Arabidopsis thaliana: one gene and its partners. The protein of the gene in region 1 interacts with the protein of each later gene in a pairwise test. Each region holds a gene or a part of one and is shown in the gene's direction. Other genes may lie near its edges. The genes, in order: AT4G19380, AT3G21340 and CNGC5.

Evidence for each region.
Region 2: the proteins of AT4G19380 (region 1) and AT3G21340 interact in a protein complementation assay, tested with the Arabidopsis thaliana proteins (one large-scale study listed by BioGRID).
Region 3: the proteins of AT4G19380 (region 1) and CNGC5 interact in a protein complementation assay, tested with the Arabidopsis thaliana proteins (one large-scale study listed by BioGRID).

What each region holds. Positions count from the first base shown.
Region 1 is NC_003075.7:10,567,762-10,574,297, reverse strand, and holds AT4G19380 (Long-chain fatty alcohol dehydrogenase family protein), read left to right. Parts: upstream 1-1,781; 5' UTR 1,782-1,883; coding exon 1,884-2,138; intron 2,139-3,336; coding exon 3,337-3,606; intron 3,607-4,089; coding exon 4,090-5,871; 3' UTR 5,872-5,975; downstream 5,976-6,536. UniProt on the Arabidopsis thaliana protein: Long-chain fatty alcohol oxidase involved in the omega-oxidation pathway of lipid degradation.
Region 2 is NC_003074.8:7,511,137-7,517,929, reverse strand, and holds AT3G21340 (Leucine-rich repeat protein kinase family protein), read left to right. Parts: upstream 1-1,856; 5' UTR 1,857-1,992; coding exon 1,993-2,086; intron 2,087-2,187; coding exon 2,188-2,725; intron 2,726-3,034; coding exon 3,035-3,513; intron 3,514-3,596; coding exon 3,597-3,741; intron 3,742-3,831; coding exon 3,832-3,903; intron 3,904-4,006; coding exon 4,007-4,078; intron 4,079-4,173; coding exon 4,174-4,245; intron 4,246-4,350; coding exon 4,351-4,535; intron 4,536-4,633; coding exon 4,634-4,884; intron 4,885-4,984; coding exon 4,985-5,111; intron 5,112-5,186; coding exon 5,187-5,252; coding exon of another isoform or gene 5,253-5,263; exon of another isoform or gene 5,264-5,337; coding exon 5,338-5,527; intron 5,528-5,673; coding exon 5,674-6,082; 3' UTR 6,083-6,174; downstream 6,175-6,793. Other genes in the region: MED6 (RNA polymerase transcriptional regulation mediator-like protein), read right to left, coding at 36-105, 213-387, 565-824. UniProt on the Arabidopsis thaliana protein: Probable receptor with a dual specificity kinase activity acting on both serine/threonine- and tyrosine-containing substrates.
Region 3 is NC_003076.8:23,454,479-23,461,143, forward strand, and holds CNGC5 (cyclic nucleotide gated channel 5), read left to right. Parts: upstream 1-2,086; 5' UTR 2,087-2,188; exon of another isoform or gene 2,189-2,419; intron 2,420-2,537; 5' UTR 2,538-2,637; coding exon 2,638-2,666; intron 2,667-2,845; coding exon 2,846-3,428; intron 3,429-3,589; coding exon 3,590-3,802; intron 3,803-4,193; coding exon 4,194-4,504; intron 4,505-4,644; coding exon 4,645-4,756; intron 4,757-4,894; coding exon 4,895-5,131; intron 5,132-5,292; coding exon 5,293-5,961; 3' UTR 5,962-6,143; downstream 6,144-6,665. Other genes in the region: APO2 (APO RNA-binding protein (DUF794)), read left to right, coding at 212-239, 342-460, 607-959, 1,045-1,876; AT5G57950 (26S proteasome regulatory subunit), read left to right, coding at 6,200-6,427, 6,513-6,573. UniProt on the Arabidopsis thaliana protein: Probable cyclic nucleotide-gated ion channel.

The sequences.
Region 1 (6,536 bases):
TTATTCATATCTCCACCGGCGACACCACATTAAATTTGTAAGCATCTTTAATAAACACTCATAAGAATTGAAGTGGTTATTATATAATACTAATACTATTGAAAAAGAAAACTTAATAATACATTTCTGATTAGATATGAAATTATGAATATCAGAATTCAAAGTTTTCGACAACCATCGCACTCATGGGGTATATCTTTCCCCAAACTACATATATATAAGAAGTCTGAACCGATCAAGATGAGTATAACTAGTAATCATTCCCAAACAAACTCAAAGAATTTCAATCTATACGCAATAAATATACACACTTCTGAAAAAAATAACAACATTAAGCACGTTCAAAAAATAGGAGATCATAAATTTTTATTAAATTACATCTACCACATTATCAACTTGCATTGGACAATCGATGATATCAATGCACCTATAATTTACATAAAAAAGGGGGAAGATAAAACTCAAAATCTGGAGGAGAATCTCAGAAACTTAATGAATGATAATTATGGAGGACAGGTATTGTTAACTGTACTGTCTTCTACATTCAATTCGCTTTTCTTTTTTTTTCTCTCTCAAAGGGTCCAGTTTGATACCCTGATCACTCACTCGTTGGGTCCTTTCATGACCTCTCTGTACTTTATTTGATTCTATCATATTAATGAACATTGTCATTTTTTCTTACATTATTACCTGATTTGTGTTCTACTAATCATTCGAAGTTATGATAAAATCATTCCTTTATATTTTGAGTTCCCATATCTGTAGACATCCACACATGTCTGAATCAGCCTCTCTTTCAACGAAGTTCGAAATTTTGCAACTTATTCAATAGTTATTTAAAAATTTAGTATGAAAATCAGCTTTTATCATAAAAATATTAGAACAAAAATGCGTAAATTACTTTAGTAACAAAACTAGAACGGTATTTTACTTAAAATGAGTTGAATCTCTAAACCATAATATTAATGAATAGATCATTTAAACTTGAATACTATAAAAACAACGTTTTGGTTCATAAATCGCTAGTCTATTATAGATAGACGAAGTAATAACTAATATCAAATATATAAATAAATTTAACTTGCGTTATCTAATTTAACAGATTTGTTGCAAAGACCAAAAGTTTATATACCCCTTTGATATTTCAACCAATGTACATTACTTGGTAATTCCGTATGATTGCTCAAATGTTTTCCCAAACCATATATGTAACTTATTGATATAAATCATGTCACGATCACTTCGTCATCACTTGCAACACAAATCTTTACGTAGTTGGAACTAAAATTACGAATAAAGTGGGTGTGTGTAAAGAATTTAATACTTTTATAAAAAAATTCTGAAAAAGTCAAAGTAAATTATATTCACACATATGTATGATATATCTATATGAATTATAGGAAATAAATTTTCTGAAATATTAGGCTCCACCTAATAGGCTAATACCCATTGTTATAGACTACCCCTAAACTGTCGATTACCCATCCTCTGATATTTTTGTTTTATTGGATTTAGGATACATACGAATATATACGAATTCGTAAACAAATATTTGTAAGAGTTAATATATATTTCATATCTATATCTGATTCAGAATATGCAATTTAAAACTTACATTTCAGAAAGTTTGACTTAAGTAAACAAATTTGTCTAGCGTTTTTTAAGAATGGTGTCCATGTTTTCTATAAAAAAAAGATCACAAGCTTATAATGAAATTTCGAAAACCTAATTCGGATCAGTGTACTTGCTAGTATCAAACTTTTCCTTGCTGGTACCAAACAGATAGATATATATATATATTATATTTGTATTTAATCCTTTGGTCTCTATATAAATACAACACGTCATAAACTTTACTAGCCACAACTTAAAGTATTGAATACATGGAGAATCACAGCTGCCTTCAGAAAGATACGACGTCGGCGGCCAAATTAGACGTCGAAACTGGAAACCTCCGGCAGAGAGATGAAACGAAGCCGTTTTATGCAAACTCACTGACGCCACGTGAGATGGAATCTCTTGTTGCGATCTGCGATACCTTCATATCCTCCATCGACGACTCTGGAGTAGGACACGTGGATGATTGCGTCGCTGGATATTTCTCCGCCTCCGCTTCTCAGACCGGAACTCCCGACCGCGTAAGTGTTATATATACAAACATGCATTCACATATAAAAGAGATTTACATACATGCATGCACATATAACATATATAAGTAGATATGCTTCCCGATTTTTATATGTTACATGCTTTATCAAAACAAAACCTATTTGTTATATACATGCATTTTTTATTATTTCTAGCTAACCCTTTTTACAAACAAAAGAGAATAGAGCATAATTTAAATCGTTTAGGATGATTTAAATTATTAATTTGGATCCATATGCATACGTTTGCTGAGATATTATTACAGTTGATTTTTTCTTTATTTTTACAAGAAATAAAATAAGAATGATTTATGGACATAATTTTAAAATCACGGTTTTTTATTTGTAATCTTTCTTGATTCAGATCGTTTTAGAAAAGAAATTAGTAAACGTAAAACATTTCTTTCTTACTCAAAGGTGATTCATATCCGACTTATACAACGTTTAAACAACAGTTTTTACGGGTTAAACTGTCTATAACTTATTTAGCAAAAAGATATTTACATATGCATTTAAAAATCTGCATTGCATGCATGTGAATCAGTACTTTCCATATCTAAAAAGAGAAACGGTACTATAGATGACAACAAAAAACCAGTACTTTCAGTGAAATATAGAGCCGACAGATTTCAAGTACACCTACATTCCATCGTCACGCATGCCATTGATGCCATCTCAAGTTAATTGCTAAAAATAAATTTGTTAATTCCTTCTCTTTTGGCTACTATTTATTCGTTCCATATAACTATTATTATAAATTTGGTATTAATATATCACTCCGACGACCGATTCAATTGTTCTTTTTTTCTTGTCATAACTCATTGGCAAAAAGAAGGTAAAAATAGATTGAACCTTACATATCGTGTTCACTACATCGTGTATGTGTAAATTAGTTGATATGCACTATTAAAATTTTCAAAGAACGATTAGATATTAGTCAATTATAGGAATAACGAAGAAGCGACTGCTTAACCATAATCGTGGTTTGGCCGCATATGGTCTGGTTGGAAATCCAAATATAATTGACTCATGAACCAAAAACCGTTATGCTAGATATACCAGCTATGAAAATTTGTATAGGTTAAAGTTAAATAGAACGAACATTTTTTTTTTGAATACAAATTTCATTACATTTACTTAACCGTTAACCCTGACCGTTTGTTATTGTATCATAAATTCGTAATAACAGGTGGCGAGGTTAATGAGTGAGAGACTTCACCACCCAAAGAAGTGGATACTAAGAGCTGGATTGTGGTTACTCTCTACTTGGATCGGAAGTCTAGTCTTGTGTGGTTGGAGAAGTTTCACCGGCGAGTTTCCTTACTTCCGGAGATTCTGCCGGCTTCCGGAGAAACGGAGAGAAGAGATATTGCTGAATTGGTCTTCAAGCTATTTCTCACTTCTTAGAATGTTATTTAGGACCATCAAACTTATAAGTGCCCTTGTCTTCTTCACTCAGGTAAACTAAACTCGAAATCTTTGTCACTTATTTCAATTTCTTATCACTTTTGATAGATGTGTACTCATTATGTTTCTTTTAAGCTTTATGTTTTATGATTTTCACACATTTGTTTGCAATATAAGTTAAACCTTAGTCTACTAATTAAACTTATCAATTTATTTAAGATTTACATTTTAGTCACTTTAACTGGTATGAGTAAATTATAAAATAAAGGACATGAGTGAGTTGGTAATGACTTGGATATATTTACTGATTCTTGAAATTTGAGTCCAAATGAAAAATATATTCTTAGACCATATATGGTAATGGGGTCTATATGGCCCAATGATTTACTTGTGGTGGACCTGTTGAAAGTTCCTCTTCAACGAAACTCGTTACCCAATGAATCCCGGAGGGAACATGAAACTTGTCAACTTGATATACCATATAACTAACTACTAATTTTTTTTTAATTATTCCTATTGATTTTTAAAAATTCAGGTTGATGAAAAAGGAAGGAACTTGGCGTGGAAAGCAATAGGTTACAATGGACCCAGCCCTGATCATAGTGATCATGAAGTAGAACTAAACGAGGAGAAGAAGAAGAAGAAACCTGAGGAGATCTTTGGACCACTTTACAATGGCATCGTTGATCTAAAAAGCCCTAGAGAAGCCGTGGAAAAGAAGCTAGCCGGTCGTGGGTTCGCAGTTTCAAATCAAAAGAGGAATACAAACGGATCATCTATCTCTGACCCGGTGATGAAAATCCAGTGTGATGCTGTGGTGGTTGGGTCTGGATCCGGTGGAGGAGTGGCGGCAGGAGTGTTAGCCAAGGCTGGTTACAAAGTGTTGGTGATTGAGTCAGGGAATTACTATGCAAGAAGCAAACTTTCTTTACTTGAAGGGCAAGCTATGGATGACATGTATTTATCCGGTGGGTTATTAGCGACGTCCGATACGAACGTAGTGATTCTTGCGGGATCCACAGTCGGAGGTGGTTCTACAATCAATTGGTCCGCCTCGATCAAGACACCAGAACATGTGATGAAGGAATGGGCAGAAAAGTCAAAACTCGAAATGTTCGGAAGTGATTTGTATCGAGAGGCAATGGATGTTGTCTGTAAGAGGATGGGTGTTCAATGCGGATTTGTAGAAGAAGGGTTTAATAATGAGGTATTGAGAAAAGGTTGTGAAAAGTTAGGGTTACCAGTGAAGAATATTCCGAGGAATGCTCCATCCGATCATTACTGTGGGTTTTGTTGCTTGGGTTGCAAGAAAGGTCAAAAGCAGGGGACTTCAGAGACTTGGCTTGTAGATTTGGTGGAATCTGATAATGGTTTAATCCTTCCAGGTTGTCAAGCGACGGAAGTCATGTACGACTGTGAACAGGGGAAGAAGAAGAAGGCAACTGGAGTTGCGTTTGCGTTTGGGGAAGAGATTTATGTGGTGGAGTCTAGAGTGACAATAGTGGCTTGCGGTGCGCTTAGAACGCCGCATCTGTTGAAACGTAGCGGTTTGAAGAATAGTAACATTGGGAGAAACCTTTGTCTACATCCGGTTGTTATGGCTTGGGGATGGTTTCCAGAGGAAGATAAGTGGCCGGAAAAGAAGAAAAAGAGCTACGAGGGGGGAATAATGACTGCGATGTCTAGCGTTGTAATTGAAGAAACGCATAGTTCTTATGGTGAAATGGTTATCCAGACACCTGCTCTACATCCAGGAATGTTCTCAGGGATCATTCCCTGGACATCAAGCAAGGATTTCAAAACCCGAATGCTCAAATTTTCAAGAACCGCACACATTTTTGCGCTTCTGAGAGATAAAGGAACCGGAACAATAGATTCCAAGACCTACATTGACTACAACTTAAACGATGAAGACGAAGAGAGTCTAAAGAACGGTCTTGAAAGAGTCTTGAAGATTCTGGCCGCAGCCGGAGCCGAGGAGATTGGGACGCATCATTCAGAAGGTAGGAGTCTGAATGTTAGAACAGCGAGTTCGTTAGAGATTGAGCGGTTTGTGAGAGAAGAGAGTTCAAAGCCGTTGAAGGATTTGTCAGGTCAGATATGTTCAGCTCACCAAATGGGAAGTTGTAGGATGGGAATTAGGCCGGAGGAATCCGCGGTGAGGCCAACAGGAGAGACTTGGGAGGTCGAAAGGTTATTTGTGGCGGACACAAGTGTTTTTCCGACCGCTTTAGGGGTTAATCCGATGGTCACCGTTCAGTCTATTGCTTATTGTATTGGACTTAATGTTGTTGATGTTCTTAAGAAGAAGAAGTGAGGGTTCATCAGTTTGAAATAGATTTTAGTTTTCCACATATTTTTTAAAATGAAATGTTTTTTTTATACAATTGATAAAACTAATATTAAGAAGTTCTTTGTCAAAGTATCAGTTAGCAATAAATTTCCTTTTCTTTTAATTATTCGTAAACTATAACTAGTAAACACTGGTAGGCAGTAGCAGCTTGATAAATAAGAAATAAAGATGAGCAAAATGGATAATATTTCTTAAGCTAGTAGGCAATATATGATATGAAATAAAAAATCATATTAAAATTTCAGATTTTAATTCTAAAACAAAACAAACAAAAAATTATGTATACAAAAAGTTTCAAGCCTTTAACTTGGGAAGGCTTAATCTATACTCAACTTCTATAGTCCATGCCATTATCATGCTTTTGTTCTTTTTATTAAGGCCACTTTGTATGTAAGTCAAACAATCTACGTTTGACCTCGTCTTTAGTAAACACAAATCATCTATTTCCTTTTAATCGTTTTGGAAAAAAATTTTATTTTAATGTATGATAATATTCTCCTCTCTTTTATTTCCATATTATTTAGTTGACAAAGAAGATTTCTATGAGAAGTTACCTCACATAGTCACATATCCAAAATTTTAAGTTTGTGTTGTGTACTTGTATCAAAAGTATACGCCATCATCTATTT
Region 2 (6,793 bases), on another chromosome or scaffold:
AGCCATCGATCTTTTGGAAGAGAACGAAACCTTACCTTGTCTAATGGTCTCCAATTTCGATGCAGCATCAGTGAAAGCCTTGGATATATTATAAATAGTCCGACTCTGATTCAAACATACAAAATGAGAAAGAGAAGAAAACAAAACGTTTCAGAAACTAAAACAGACAACTATCATCAGCAACACACAAATCAAAAGAGGAAGAAACTTACAACTCGAGCTGCGAAGACACTACAAAGCTGAGGAGCTTGGTAAATAGAACCATCCAAGATATAATATGTTAGCATCGGTGTGACTTTCTCAGGACCATCTCTCTTTTGCTTACGAAAGACGAACAGGTTTGGTTCAGTAGCATCAGTTAACATATATTCTAGACCTGTCATCTTCCTACATAATATAATCACAATGGTTTCAATCAAACATTGTCACTAAATTCTCCACCTAAATCTATCTCCATTTCTCTAACAGTATCCCAGGTGAGACCAAACCCTAATTCGACCTAAAGTTGAAACCTTTATGAGTTTCAACATAACCCTATCTGTAGAGCAGTGAGGAGGAGCTTACGAGAGGTGAGAGAGATCGAGAGGGTGAATGGATCTTCTCCGAAGAATCTCATTGTTGCAAGTTGTATCGTAGAAAGGAGACAAAGCGAAGTAATCGAAGATGTAGTTACGATCAAGAGGGTATGAATTGATCCAGAGCTGATCCCTGAAGGAAATTCCAGTCATATCCGTTCCCGGAGGCTGTAACGGAGGAGGAATTTGATCCGCCGCATTGCCGTTGAAGGTATCGGCCGTAGCCGCCGAGAGCAGAGAGGAATCCATGGAAGTGAGTCACTTCGCCGTGAAGGAGAAGAGCACAGAGAAAGAAAGAGAGCGAGAGAGAGAATAATATGGTTCGGCCCATTATGTAATTTGGGCTTTCGAATTTCATTGGCCCAAAATTGAAGGAATTAGACAAATGTGTTATCAACTGATTCTGACAACATTTTTTTTTTTGTTACAAACTTATAATAACTATAGAACCTTTTTTTTTAATAACTAGTAATTGAACTTTGTCCGATGATAACTTAATTAATAAGAAGAAAACATAACAAAGGCAGATAAATCTTTTTTATAGAAATGAAATAAAAACACAGGGTTTTGTCCAAAAAACCACAAGGGTCAAAAGTCAACGACCATTTAAATCATAAGAAGGTTTTGTTGTGTGTTCCATGCACGTATCCTCCCTGGACCAGCTTCCAGCTAGCGAAGCCAATTGCTACGTTTACTTCTTTTTTTTATCAAAGTTTGTTGTGATTGTTGGGCCTTTGGAACCATTTTGATCCTCACAATCTTTGCTTCTTTTTAAACAATGTAAAATTAGTCTTCCACGTTGTAGCTTACCTATTTGGCTATTCATTTGCCATTGAATTGGATTTTTTTTTTTTTTGTTTCTTACCATGGAATATGGATGGCAGTTTCTGGAAATTGGAATTCAAATTAAAACTAAAGTGTGTCGAACCAAACCAAACCAAGATATTGTTCAATATGGATTCTATGTATATAAACTAAAAGAAAAGAAAAAAAAATCAAAAACCTAACAAACGCGCCTAACCAAAACTGAATTGAATACAAAAAGCAAAAACCAAGTTATATTATTTACTTCAATTTGATTTATTTAGTCGAAAATAAGATATATTAGTGCATTATGCATACGTACGAATACAACGTTAAAAAACAGGACATTGACATCAACTAAACGGCATTGGAAGATTATTGGATCGTTAATTTTTAAATCTTTATAGAATGTTAATCAAATCAAACATATTAGTTTAGTTTTATTTAGGTTCGAGACAACCGACTCTTGTATACATATTTTTTTTCATAAGTTGACCTACAAAAATAACGTCGTGCTTATTAGTTTTCAATAATTTCCATTATTGCCTAGATATCTCAAACCTCTGCTTTTTCTTTTTGTAAATGTCTCTCTCTTTTGTTTCATAGAAGAATAATGGAGTACCATCCTCAAGCAATTAGGTTATGTGCGTTGATCTTCATCTCTTTCTATGCTCTTTTACACCTCGTTGAAGCACAAGACCAAAAAGGTATATACATATACACATTTCTTTGTTGTTTTTGATAATGTTTCGTCGAAATTATGTTCTTACTTAGTTTTCTGATACATTTTGTTCGCTTGTGTTACTAGGATTCATTAGTTTGGATTGCGGGTCATTGCCAAATGAGCCTCCTTACAACGATCCTTCAACCGGATTAACATACTCGACGGACGATGGTTTCGTGCAGAGTGGCAAAACTGGAAGAATCCAGAAAGCGTTCGAGTCGATCTTCAGTAAACCGTCTTTGAAGCTTAGATACTTCCCGGACGGATTCCGAAACTGCTATACCTTGAATGTCACGCAAGACACAAACTATCTGATCAAAGCTGTATTTGTGTATGGTAACTACGATGGTCTTAACAATCCCCCGAGTTTCGATCTTTACCTTGGTCCGAATCTATGGGTAACGGTTGATATGAATGGACGGACCAATGGTACTATCCAGGAGATTATCCACAAGACCATATCTAAGTCTCTCCAGGTCTGTCTTGTTAAGACAGGAACAAGCTCACCTATGATTAATACGTTAGAGCTACGACCACTTAAAAACAATACTTACAATACTCAGAGTGGCTCTCTGAAGTATTTCTTCCGATATTATTTCAGCGGTTCAGGCCAAAACATACGGTATGAATCACGCCCTTTCACTTAATCATGAACAAAATTTGGTTTCTGGTTCTGTTTGATCCGTTTAGGATAAACTTTTTAACGAAGATTATTTGTTTTAAACCTTTAATAAATTTAGTGTATATATTGAAGTTTAAAGATTATAATTACTTATTAGGTTTTTGGTTGCACAAAACTCGGATTGGGTTCATTTGGTATAGACATTTTTCTAGCATCTTGGTTTATTAATATGGATTTTGATTTGTTTCAGTAAGTTTGTTTTTAAGTAAAATGTTAGTCTTTAATACATGACAAAAATATTTTTGATAGGTACCCTGATGATGTCAATGATCGTAAATGGTATCCATTCTTTGATGCAAAAGAGTGGACAGAGTTAACAACCAATCTGAATATAAACAGTTCTAATGGTTATGCACCACCAGAAGTTGTGATGGCGTCAGCCTCAACGCCTATAAGTACTTTTGGAACATGGAACTTCTCATGGTTATTGCCATCTTCCACAACCCAATTTTATGTGTACATGCATTTTGCCGAGATTCAAACTCTACGGTCCCTCGATACCCGAGAATTCAAAGTGACGTTGAATGGAAAACTTGCTTATGAACGCTACAGCCCTAAAACGTTAGCCACCGAAACCATTTTCTATTCGACACCACAACAATGTGAAGATGGGACATGCCTCTTGGAGTTGACGAAAACACCTAAGTCTACTCTTCCTCCTCTCATGAACGCTCTTGAGGTTTTCACCGTGATCGATTTTCCACAGATGGAAACAAATCCAGATGATGGTAAGTCTATATGTTTCAATCAATTTCCTCTATAAATATAATTTCATGGGTTGTTTTTTGATGCAACAATAACTTTATTCTAGTTGCTGCTATCAAGAGTATCCAAAGCACTTATGGATTAAGTAAAATCAGCTGGCAAGGAGATCCATGCGTTCCTAAACAGTTTTTGTGGGAGGGTTTAAACTGCAATAATCTAGATAACTCCACGCCGCCTATTGTCACTTCCTTGTAAGATCAATCTTAAATTATTGTATTAGTTATGTCACATGATTTTATCATCTGTAAATGAAATGTGTGCATGCATAAATATGTCTTTAGAAACTTATCGTCAAGTCATTTAACGGGGATCATCGCGCAAGGCATTCAGAATCTGACACACCTACAAGAACTGTAAGTATTTCGTATTTCAAAACTGAGCATAATGAAAACTATTTGTTCACCTTAATTGTATCTTGTTTATAACATATTTTTGTACTTACAAATGCTTATGTAGAGACTTGTCAAATAACAATTTGACGGGAGGAATACCCGAATTTCTTGCTGACATAAAATCACTCTTAGTAATGTGAGTCGTTTTAAACAAGACAATTTTTTATAATCTATTAGCCTCTTCGCACTACAAGATTGCCTATGTTTCTAACATTGTGTCTATCTTAACAGAAATTTAAGTGGGAACAATTTTAATGGCTCTATTCCTCAAATCCTTTTACAGAAGAAAGGACTAAAGCTAATGTAAGCTTTTCTCATATAATATTTTCATGACTATATAAAATTTGTGCTCAAGTCTCCTAAATGACTGGTAAATTTCTTTTTTTCCTCAACATTGGTAACTCATAGTCTTGAAGGAAACGCCAATCTGATTTGTCCGGATGGATTATGTGTAAACAAAGCTGGCAATGGTGGTGCCAAGAAAATGAATGTTGTAATACCGATTGTTGCATCAGTTGCGTTTGTGGTTGTTCTTGGATCTGCATTGGCGTTCTTTTTTATTTTCAAAAAGAAAAAGACATCAAACAGTCAAGGTATACACAAAAAGAACCTTTAAATTGCCTTGAATACTGCAATACATATGTTCACTATGTATAAAAAGTCTCATTATACTGTTGCATTGTAACATTAGATTTAGGTCCATCTTCATATACTCAAGTATCAGAAGTTAGAACAATCAGATCTTCAGAGTCGGCAATAATGACTAAGAACAGAAGATTTACATATTCGGAGGTTGTAACAATGACAAATAACTTTGAAAGAGTTCTTGGTAAAGGAGGATTTGGAATGGTTTATCATGGAACTGTAAATAATACTGAACAAGTAGCCGTTAAAATGCTTTCACACTCATCTTCTCAAGGATATAAAGAATTCAAAGCAGAGGTAAGTTTTAGCAAGGTTATTAAGAAACGTTTGTAGAAACACTATCGTTTTATTAGAGTAACATGTCAAATTTTGATGTATTGCTCTTCCACTCCTCTAGGTGGAACTTCTTCTCAGAGTTCACCACAAAAATTTGGTTGGCCTCGTTGGATATTGTGATGAAGGAGAAAACTTGGCTCTTATCTACGAGTACATGGCTAACGGAGACTTGAGAGAACATATGTCAGGTAAGTATTTATAGTTGCTACAAATACATATTTGTTGTGGTGTTTTCACATATTTATATGTTGATTCAAATGTAGGAAAGCGAGGTGGATCTATTCTAAATTGGGAAACTAGACTAAAAATAGTTGTCGAGTCTGCCCAAGGTTTGATATGAGTTTTAATATAATTTTTGCTTGTATCCTCTATTCATTTGCTTAACCCTTGATGAAAATGAAATTTGTTGCATAGGTTTGGAATACTTGCATAATGGATGCAAACCACCAATGGTTCATAGGGATGTTAAAACCACAAATATATTGTTGAATGAACACCTCCATGCTAAGCTAGCTGATTTTGGGCTTTCGAGATCTTTTCCAATTGAAGGAGAAACTCATGTGTCAACAGTTGTTGCTGGAACTCCTGGATACCTTGATCCAGAGTAAGTTTCATAATTGTTGGGCAATGATTTTCTTTTAAATTTTATTTTAAGGGTAATTGCTAGTTTTCATCTATCATGAGTATCATCACTTGATAGGATATCATATATATTTTTTATTTTTAATAGGATAAATATTGATTTTGCAGATATTACCGAACAAATTGGTTGAACGAGAAAAGTGATGTTTATAGCTTTGGAATTGTACTATTAGAGATCATCACAAACCAACTTGTGATCAATCAAAGTCGTGAAAAACCACATATAGCAGAATGGGTGGGGTTAATGCTTACAAAAGGAGACATTCAAAACATTATGGATCCAAAACTTTATGGTGATTATGACTCTGGTTCTGTCTGGAGAGCAGTTGAACTAGCAATGTCATGTCTAAATCCTTCTTCAGCTAGAAGACCAACAATGTCTCAAGTTGTTATCGAATTAAACGAATGTTTGTCATATGAAAACGCAAGAGGAGGAACGAGTCAAAACATGAACTCAGAGAGTTCAATAGAAGTCAGCATGAACTTTGATATTGGAGCTACCCCTGATGCTCGTTAGACTGCAAGAGTCATTTTATCTTTGTTTTCTTGAGTGGATTTTTGTTATTTTCAAAGGAAAATTTTAAAAGTTTTGTAATGAATTTATGTCATTAATGAATGTGATTTATTGGAATCAAGATTAGCAGCATAGACTCGATCTACGGTTAAAAAAAGAGGATAAAGTCCAATCATAACTCTCTTTAATTTATTTTGCAGAATGAAAACGTAGTAGAAATGGATGTAATCTTAGTGGAATAAACAAAGCAAATGATGAGACATGTTTATACGTTTCTTGTGATCAAAGTTTCGAAGCTCTAGATATATAGCAATAGGCCCGGGATGACTCAAATATGATCGAGGGGAAGAAGCGCGCACCTGCCAATTGCTCGCTACGACCATCTTCTATCTCAGTTCACGTCATTGTTTGATATAAAAGTGACTTGTTCTGTACGTTAAATCATATTTGACTCATCCTGGGCCTATTGCTCTGTATGGTTTTTCTAACTGACTCAGTTATTTATTTGTAATATGATAGTTCCAAAATAAGACATTACAAATGATTTATACACGTACATTTTATACAACAACTTCCATTTTTAGTTTATTTTAACTATATATCATATTTGTCCACCAAAATTTACGATGTAGTCAAAGTTGATATCTAGTAGCATTCTAATTTAGTGCATAATAAATTTAACGTAAAGATTATCAGTGTATTGTTGTATGTGGA
Region 3 (6,665 bases), on another chromosome or scaffold:
GATCGGTTATACAACTGTGGAATTTGGAAACAAATGTTATTATAAGTGGGCCTAATGGGAACTTCTGCCCATTAAAGGCCCATTATTTGAACTTATTAGCTTTAAGCTTGTCCACGATTTACATTAGCTATCTTCTTCGTCTCCGGGACTGAGACCGCTCTCTCTTCCTTATCCTCCATCTTCCAATGGTTTAATCCAGCAACTGTCGACGATGTCGATAACGTACTCCGCTATTTCCTGTAAGTTTCTTCCTCACTGTGTGTCGAATCCGTCCTCAATGCTCAATTTTATCCATTTATTGTGAGACTGTGATTGATTTTGGTTTCCGTTGTTTTATCCAGCTAGTACAGTTTCTGGGTTTTCACCAAAAAGTGTACCTTTTGCTATTCATAGCGTAACCAGGAGGCAATTTCTTAATCCCAACACGTTTTATAGATTTGGGTTCTCTCCTTCTCTTCAGGTCAGATTCCTTTACTAGTCAGTATCATCCAATTCTCCAGACTCTGCTTCGTTGTTGTTTTGGTTCTTAGAATTAGACCACACTTCGTTGCTTCCCTTTGAAGTAGAGAGTCAATGTTTACTGTTATGTGCGGATATGTTGTGCAGGGAAGTAGCATTGAGTTTAGCCTTCAGTTGAATTCAAGAGTTGTGCTTAGTAAAGAGCGTCGATCTCTGCCATTAGTTGTGAGAAATGATCGTCCTCAGAATGAAGACTTACCTAAGCAGTACACAAGGCGAGAGAAGAAACCTTTCCCAGTCCCTATTGTGGACCTGAGACGAGCTGCGAGGGAGAGAGTCAAGAACAACAAAGACAAACCTAAGAGACCTCTACCTCCGCCTAAAAATGGTATGGTTGTGAAGAGCCTTGTGCCTCTTGCTTATAAAGTATACAATGCAAGAATCAGATTGATCAACAATCTCCACCGGCTTATGAAAGTTGTTCGTGTTAATGCTTGTGGGTAAAAATTCTCTTCTTCTTCTTGTTTCATTTTTGGTCTGTTTTGAGTATGGCCTTTTTTTGATGTTGTATGATTGGTCTCTTAGGTGGTGCAATGAGATTCATGTTGGACCTTATGGGCATCCATTTAAGTCGTGTAAAGGTCCCAATACTTCCCAAAGGAAAGGTCTTCATGAATGGACTAACTCGGTTATTGAGGACGTTATTGTTCCTCTTGAAGCCTATCACCTTTTTGACCGCCTTGGCAAGCGTATCCGTCATGATGAAAGATTCTCGATTCCCCGAGTTCCTGCTGTAGTTGAGCTCTGCATTCAGGGCGGCGTTGAAATACCCGAATTTCCAGCAAAAAGGAGAAGAAAACCGATTATCCGCATTGGCAAAAGCGAGTTTGTTGATGCAGATGAAACTGAATTGCCTGATCCAGAGCCTCAGCCTCCTCCAGTGCCATTGTTAACTGAGTTACCTGTCTCAGAGATCACTCCCCCATCTAGCGAAGAAGAAACAGTCTCCTTAGCCGAAGAAACATTACAGGCCTGGGAAGAAATGAGAGCAGGAGCCAAAAAGCTGATGAGGATGTACAGGGTTAGGGTCTGTGGGTACTGTCCAGAGGTTCACGTAGGTCCAACGGGACACAAGGCCCAGAACTGTGGTGCATTCAAGCACCAACAGCGGAATGGCCAGCATGGTTGGCAATCTGCAGTACTTGACGACTTGATACCGCCAAGATATGTTTGGCATGTTCCTGATGTGAATGGGCCACCGATGCAGCGAGAGCTACGAAGCTTCTACGGGCAAGCACCTGCTGTTGTGGAGATATGTGCTCAGGCTGGCGCTGTTGTACCTGAGCATTATAGAGCTACAATGAGACTGGAGGTTGGAATTCCTTCGAGTGTGAAAGAAGCTGAGATGGTTGTTTGATATGTAGAAGACCTTGTAAACTTCTTCTTGTACAAAATCCTCCATTCCACCTTGTGTTGTATAATAATATCACAGCCCAGGTCTTTTTGACTTTTGAAGGACAAAAAAAACAATCCACGCTAATCCTATTATCAAGGGTAAAAATGTCATTTGCTTCGTTTTCATCTTTTCTCGTTGCCATTTTCTTTTTTTTGTCTGTGTCAAGTCGATACCACTTGTCTGGTAGCTTTATACCCACTTTCATCTTTTTCATGTTCGTAGTTGTTCCTCTGGTTATCCTCATCAACGGGACCCTTGAAACCGTGTAGCCATGTAAGCCTTTGTCTTTGTCTCTTTCTCTTGCTTCAGCAAGTTCACGTCTGCTCTATTTCTAATTTTGTTCTAAGATTCAATTCTCCTTTTTTCTATGCGAGAAATTTAAGATTGGTTCTCTAGCTCTACCTCTTTAAATTTGTTACTATGTGTCGGTGTCCATCATTCATCAAATTTTTTCCTTTTTTATCCATTTGAGTTGATGTAATGATGTTGCTTCGCTTCATACTGGTCAGAGTTAGTCTAATCTTCATTTTAGCACAACTTGACAACTTCATATGGTTATGACTTATTTTTACTTGGGTCTTTCAAAGGTTAAGTATTTTAGTCTTATTTTGGGATGATGCAGCTTGCTTAATGATTAGAGTCTTAAAGCTGTGCTCTTTCTTCATCGATTTGAGCAAGTGATCTTGGAAGGCTCTTGAGTTCTGAATTCCTTGTAAGCAATCATGGCAGGGAAAAGAGAAAACTTTGTGAGGTTAGTGCTGCATCCTTTTGTTTTAATACAAAGATCTGAAGTTTGAATGTGAGAAACGTATTGATTTGGCAATGGTTGTTTCTGATTTGTTTCCTTATGAAAGTATAGTGTGATTGTACTGAACTATAGCTTGTTGGTGCATAGTAATCTGAAAGTGGTGTTGTTCATACCTTTTATAGGGTGGATGATTTGGACTCTAGGTTACCATCATCATCTGTAGCCTTCCAACAGAACTACGCCTCCAATTTCAGTGGACAACTTCATCCTATTCATGCAAGCAATGAAACTTCTAGATCCTTCAAGAAAGGTATCCAGAAGGGTTCCAAAGGGCTTAAGTCGATCGGACGTTCACTTGGTTTCGGTGTTTATCGAGCAGTGTTCCCAGAAGACCTTAAAGTATCTGAAAAGAAGATATTTGATCCTCAGGATAAATTCCTTTTGTATTGCAATAAATTATTCGTTGCGTCATGTATTCTTTCAGTGTTTGTGGACCCTTTTTTCTTCTATCTTCCTGTGATTAATGCTGAGTCCAAGTGCCTGGGTATTGACAGAAAACTGGCTATCACAGCAAGTACATTGCGGACTTTTATCGATGTGTTTTATCTCGCTCACATGGCTCTCCAGCTTAGGACTGCTTATATTGCACCTTCATCACGGGTCTTTGGGCGAGGTGAACTCGTGATTGATCCTGCACAGATAGCAAAGAGATATCTACAACGTTGGTTTATTATTGACTTTCTCTCAGTACTTCCTCTCCCTCAGGTTGGTTAATATAAGTTTTGATCATTTCAGTAAATTGTGTGTTGGAAAACATCATTGCTTAATTTGTTGAAAGGGTGCAGTAGCCAGTAGTTGGTGATCAGACATCTCTGTCAAGCGCTTTCTAGTTCTAGATTTACAGTACTCATTTTGTGTATGTGCAGATTGTAGTTTGGAGGTTCTTGCAAAGTTCAAATGGGTCGGATGTATTGGCTACAAAGCAGGCCTTGCTTTTCATTGTTTTGGTCCAGTATATACCGCGATTCCTACGTGTCTTACCCTTGACGTCAGAATTGAAAAGGACAGCAGGTGTCTTTGCTGAAACGGCTTGGGCTGGTGCCGCTTATTATCTGCTTTTATATATGCTTGCAAGTCATGTGAGTTTATATACCTTTTTCATTTTAAGACGTTGCTTGTACTATTCAATGCTTGCCCATTCACCATGAGTTATGTGACTGTGGCACCAAAAGTGCAAAACAAGGAAATATTTGCATATCCGTTTCACTGTTATGAACTTATGTTCAAATGTTTAGTTTCCTAAGACATGTAAAGGAGCTTATTGAGCTTTCTGGTTAAGCCGTCTATGCTTACCTTTGATGTTCTATGCAACCTTTCGTTTTATCTTAGTTGATGTTCATGCCTCATGGGATCACAAATGTCAAGTTTCTTATGACGAGCAACTCTGATTGTATAGCTTATTTACTCTTCAATAATAGTATTGACTTGGTAAGTGCTATTTTGATTGAGCCACTGTTTCGTATCTTGCAGATAGTTGGAGCTTTTTGGTACCTTTTAGCCTTAGAACGTAACGACGCCTGCTGGCAGGAGGCCTGTATAGATGCAGGGAATTGCAGCACAGATTTCTTGTACTGTGGCAATCAAAACATGGACGGCTATGCTGTTTGGAACAGAGCCAAGGAATCTGTTCTTAAGTCCAAGTGCCGAGCTGACCTCGATGATAATAATCCTCCATTTGACTTTGGGATTTATACACAGGCTTTATCGTCTGGAATTGTCTCGTCCCAAAACTTCATCGTAAAATATTGTTATTGTTTGTGGTGGGGCCTTCAGAACTTGAGGTAACCATGTTCTATCACTATTCAGTCGAAAGACTATTGCTTTGATCTTACCAATTCTCACTAAACTCGGCTCCTTTATCAAAGTTATGCGTCTATGAGTTTCAGATATTCATATAGTACTTCTCATTGTTGCACCACAGTACACTTGGACAAGGGCTTGAAACCAGTACATACCCAATGGAGATTATATTTTCCATATCTCTCGCCATTTCTGGGTTGATCCTCTTTGCTCTTCTCATTGGAAACATGCAGGTGAGTAATTATGGTGCAACCTTAGCTACTTTCGTGATCATTAGAAATTTCTTGTAAGCTCTTTCAATGGAAGCATCATGCATAATTTGTTTCCTCTGCATAATGACTATCTAACAACATTTTGCAATCTTGGGACAGACATATCTCCAATCTCTTACCATCCGGCTTGAAGAAATGAGAGTAAAGAGGCGTGATTCAGAACAATGGATGCATCACAGAATGTTACCACAAGATCTTAGGGAGCGTGTGAGGCGCTATGACCAGTATAAATGGTTGGAGACACGTGGTGTAGATGAAGAGTATCTCGTTCAGAATCTTCCCAAGGATCTCCGGAGAGACATCAAGCGGCATCTCTGTCTGGCTTTAGTGCGAAGGGTAAGTTCTCCCCGCTGTTCCTTATTCAAGCTTCTCACATAGATCACACACCCTTTTGAACATCTAGGACCCATTGAATAACAGTCGGCTCATAACTAAAACGAGCTCTTGACCATCGACAAGCTAGCTTGGTTCATGATACGTTTTTACCATAATATTAGGTTCCATTGTTTAAGAGCATGGACGACAAGCTGCTGGATGCGATCTGTATGCGGCTGAAACCATGCTTGTTCACAGAGAGTACCTACTTAGTGCGGGAAGGAGATCCTGTAGACGAGATGCTATTCATAATACGTGGTCGCCTCGAGAGTGTGACAACAGATGGAGGCAGGAGCGGTTTCTTCAACCGCAGTCTCCTGAAAGAAGGAGAATTCTGCGGGGAAGAGCTTCTGACATGGGCATTGGATCCAAAATCAGGTGTAAATCTCCCGTCTTCCACGAGGACCGTGAAAGCTCTGACAGAAGTAGAGGCGTTTGCGCTGACCTCAGAGGAGCTGAAGTTTGTAGCAAGCCAGTTCCGGCGCTTACATAGCAGGCAAGTGCAGCACACATTCAGGTTTTACTCTCACCAATGGAGGACTTGGGCTGCTTGTTTCATCCAGGCTGCCTGGCGTAGATACTGCAAGAGGAAGAAAATGGAAGAGGCAGAAGCCGAGGCCGCGGCTGTGTCCAGCTCAACCGCTGGACCTTCATACTCCATTGGGGCTGCATTTCTTGCCACTAAGTTTGCGGCTAATGCGCTTCGCACCATTCACAGGAACCGGAACACAAAGATTAGGGATTTGGTGAAGCTGCAGAAGCCTCCTGAGCCTGATTTCACTGCTGACTGATGATTGAGCAGCTTGTAGACATTATTGTTTATAATTTATGGGAATCATTACGGTTGAGATAAACAAATATTGCTTGGCTTTAAAGCTGCTTGTGCTGTCTGTAAAATTAATATATGAAGTGTAGAAACAAAGAGATTATAGCCGTTGGATTTAATAAATGTACGGTTAGGATCATATGCCGGTTAAAGAATGGGTCTATTGGGCCTTTTAATGAAGCCCACAATATATTCACGGTGACATGCTCCGGTCCCAAGGTAGAGAGAAGTTGCGATTGATTTCGGTGAAAGAATTAAGAATCGATCGGACTTGGAGAAGAGAAGAGAAGATGGTTGGCGCGAATCTGAAAGCGGAGACGATGGCTCTAATGGACAAGAGAACAGCCATGGAGACGGAGATGAACTCTATTGTCGAACGTCTCTGCAATCCCGGTGGTCCTGGTCTCTCCGGCAATCTCATCGACTCGGAGGTACTGTATCTGCGTCCTCACTCTTCTCTAATCTTAACCGAAAATTCTGCTTAATTTTCTCCTTTGATTCGTTTGCTTATGGCAGGGATTTCCTCGGGAAGATATTGACATTCCCATGGTGAGAACTGAGCGCCGTCGTCTTGCTGGTGATTTCTCTTTTCTTGTGCTGAATTAGTCCATAGTTAGGGTGAGACTACAACTCCAAGGTTAGTTTAAACTTAGGAAACATAGCAGAATC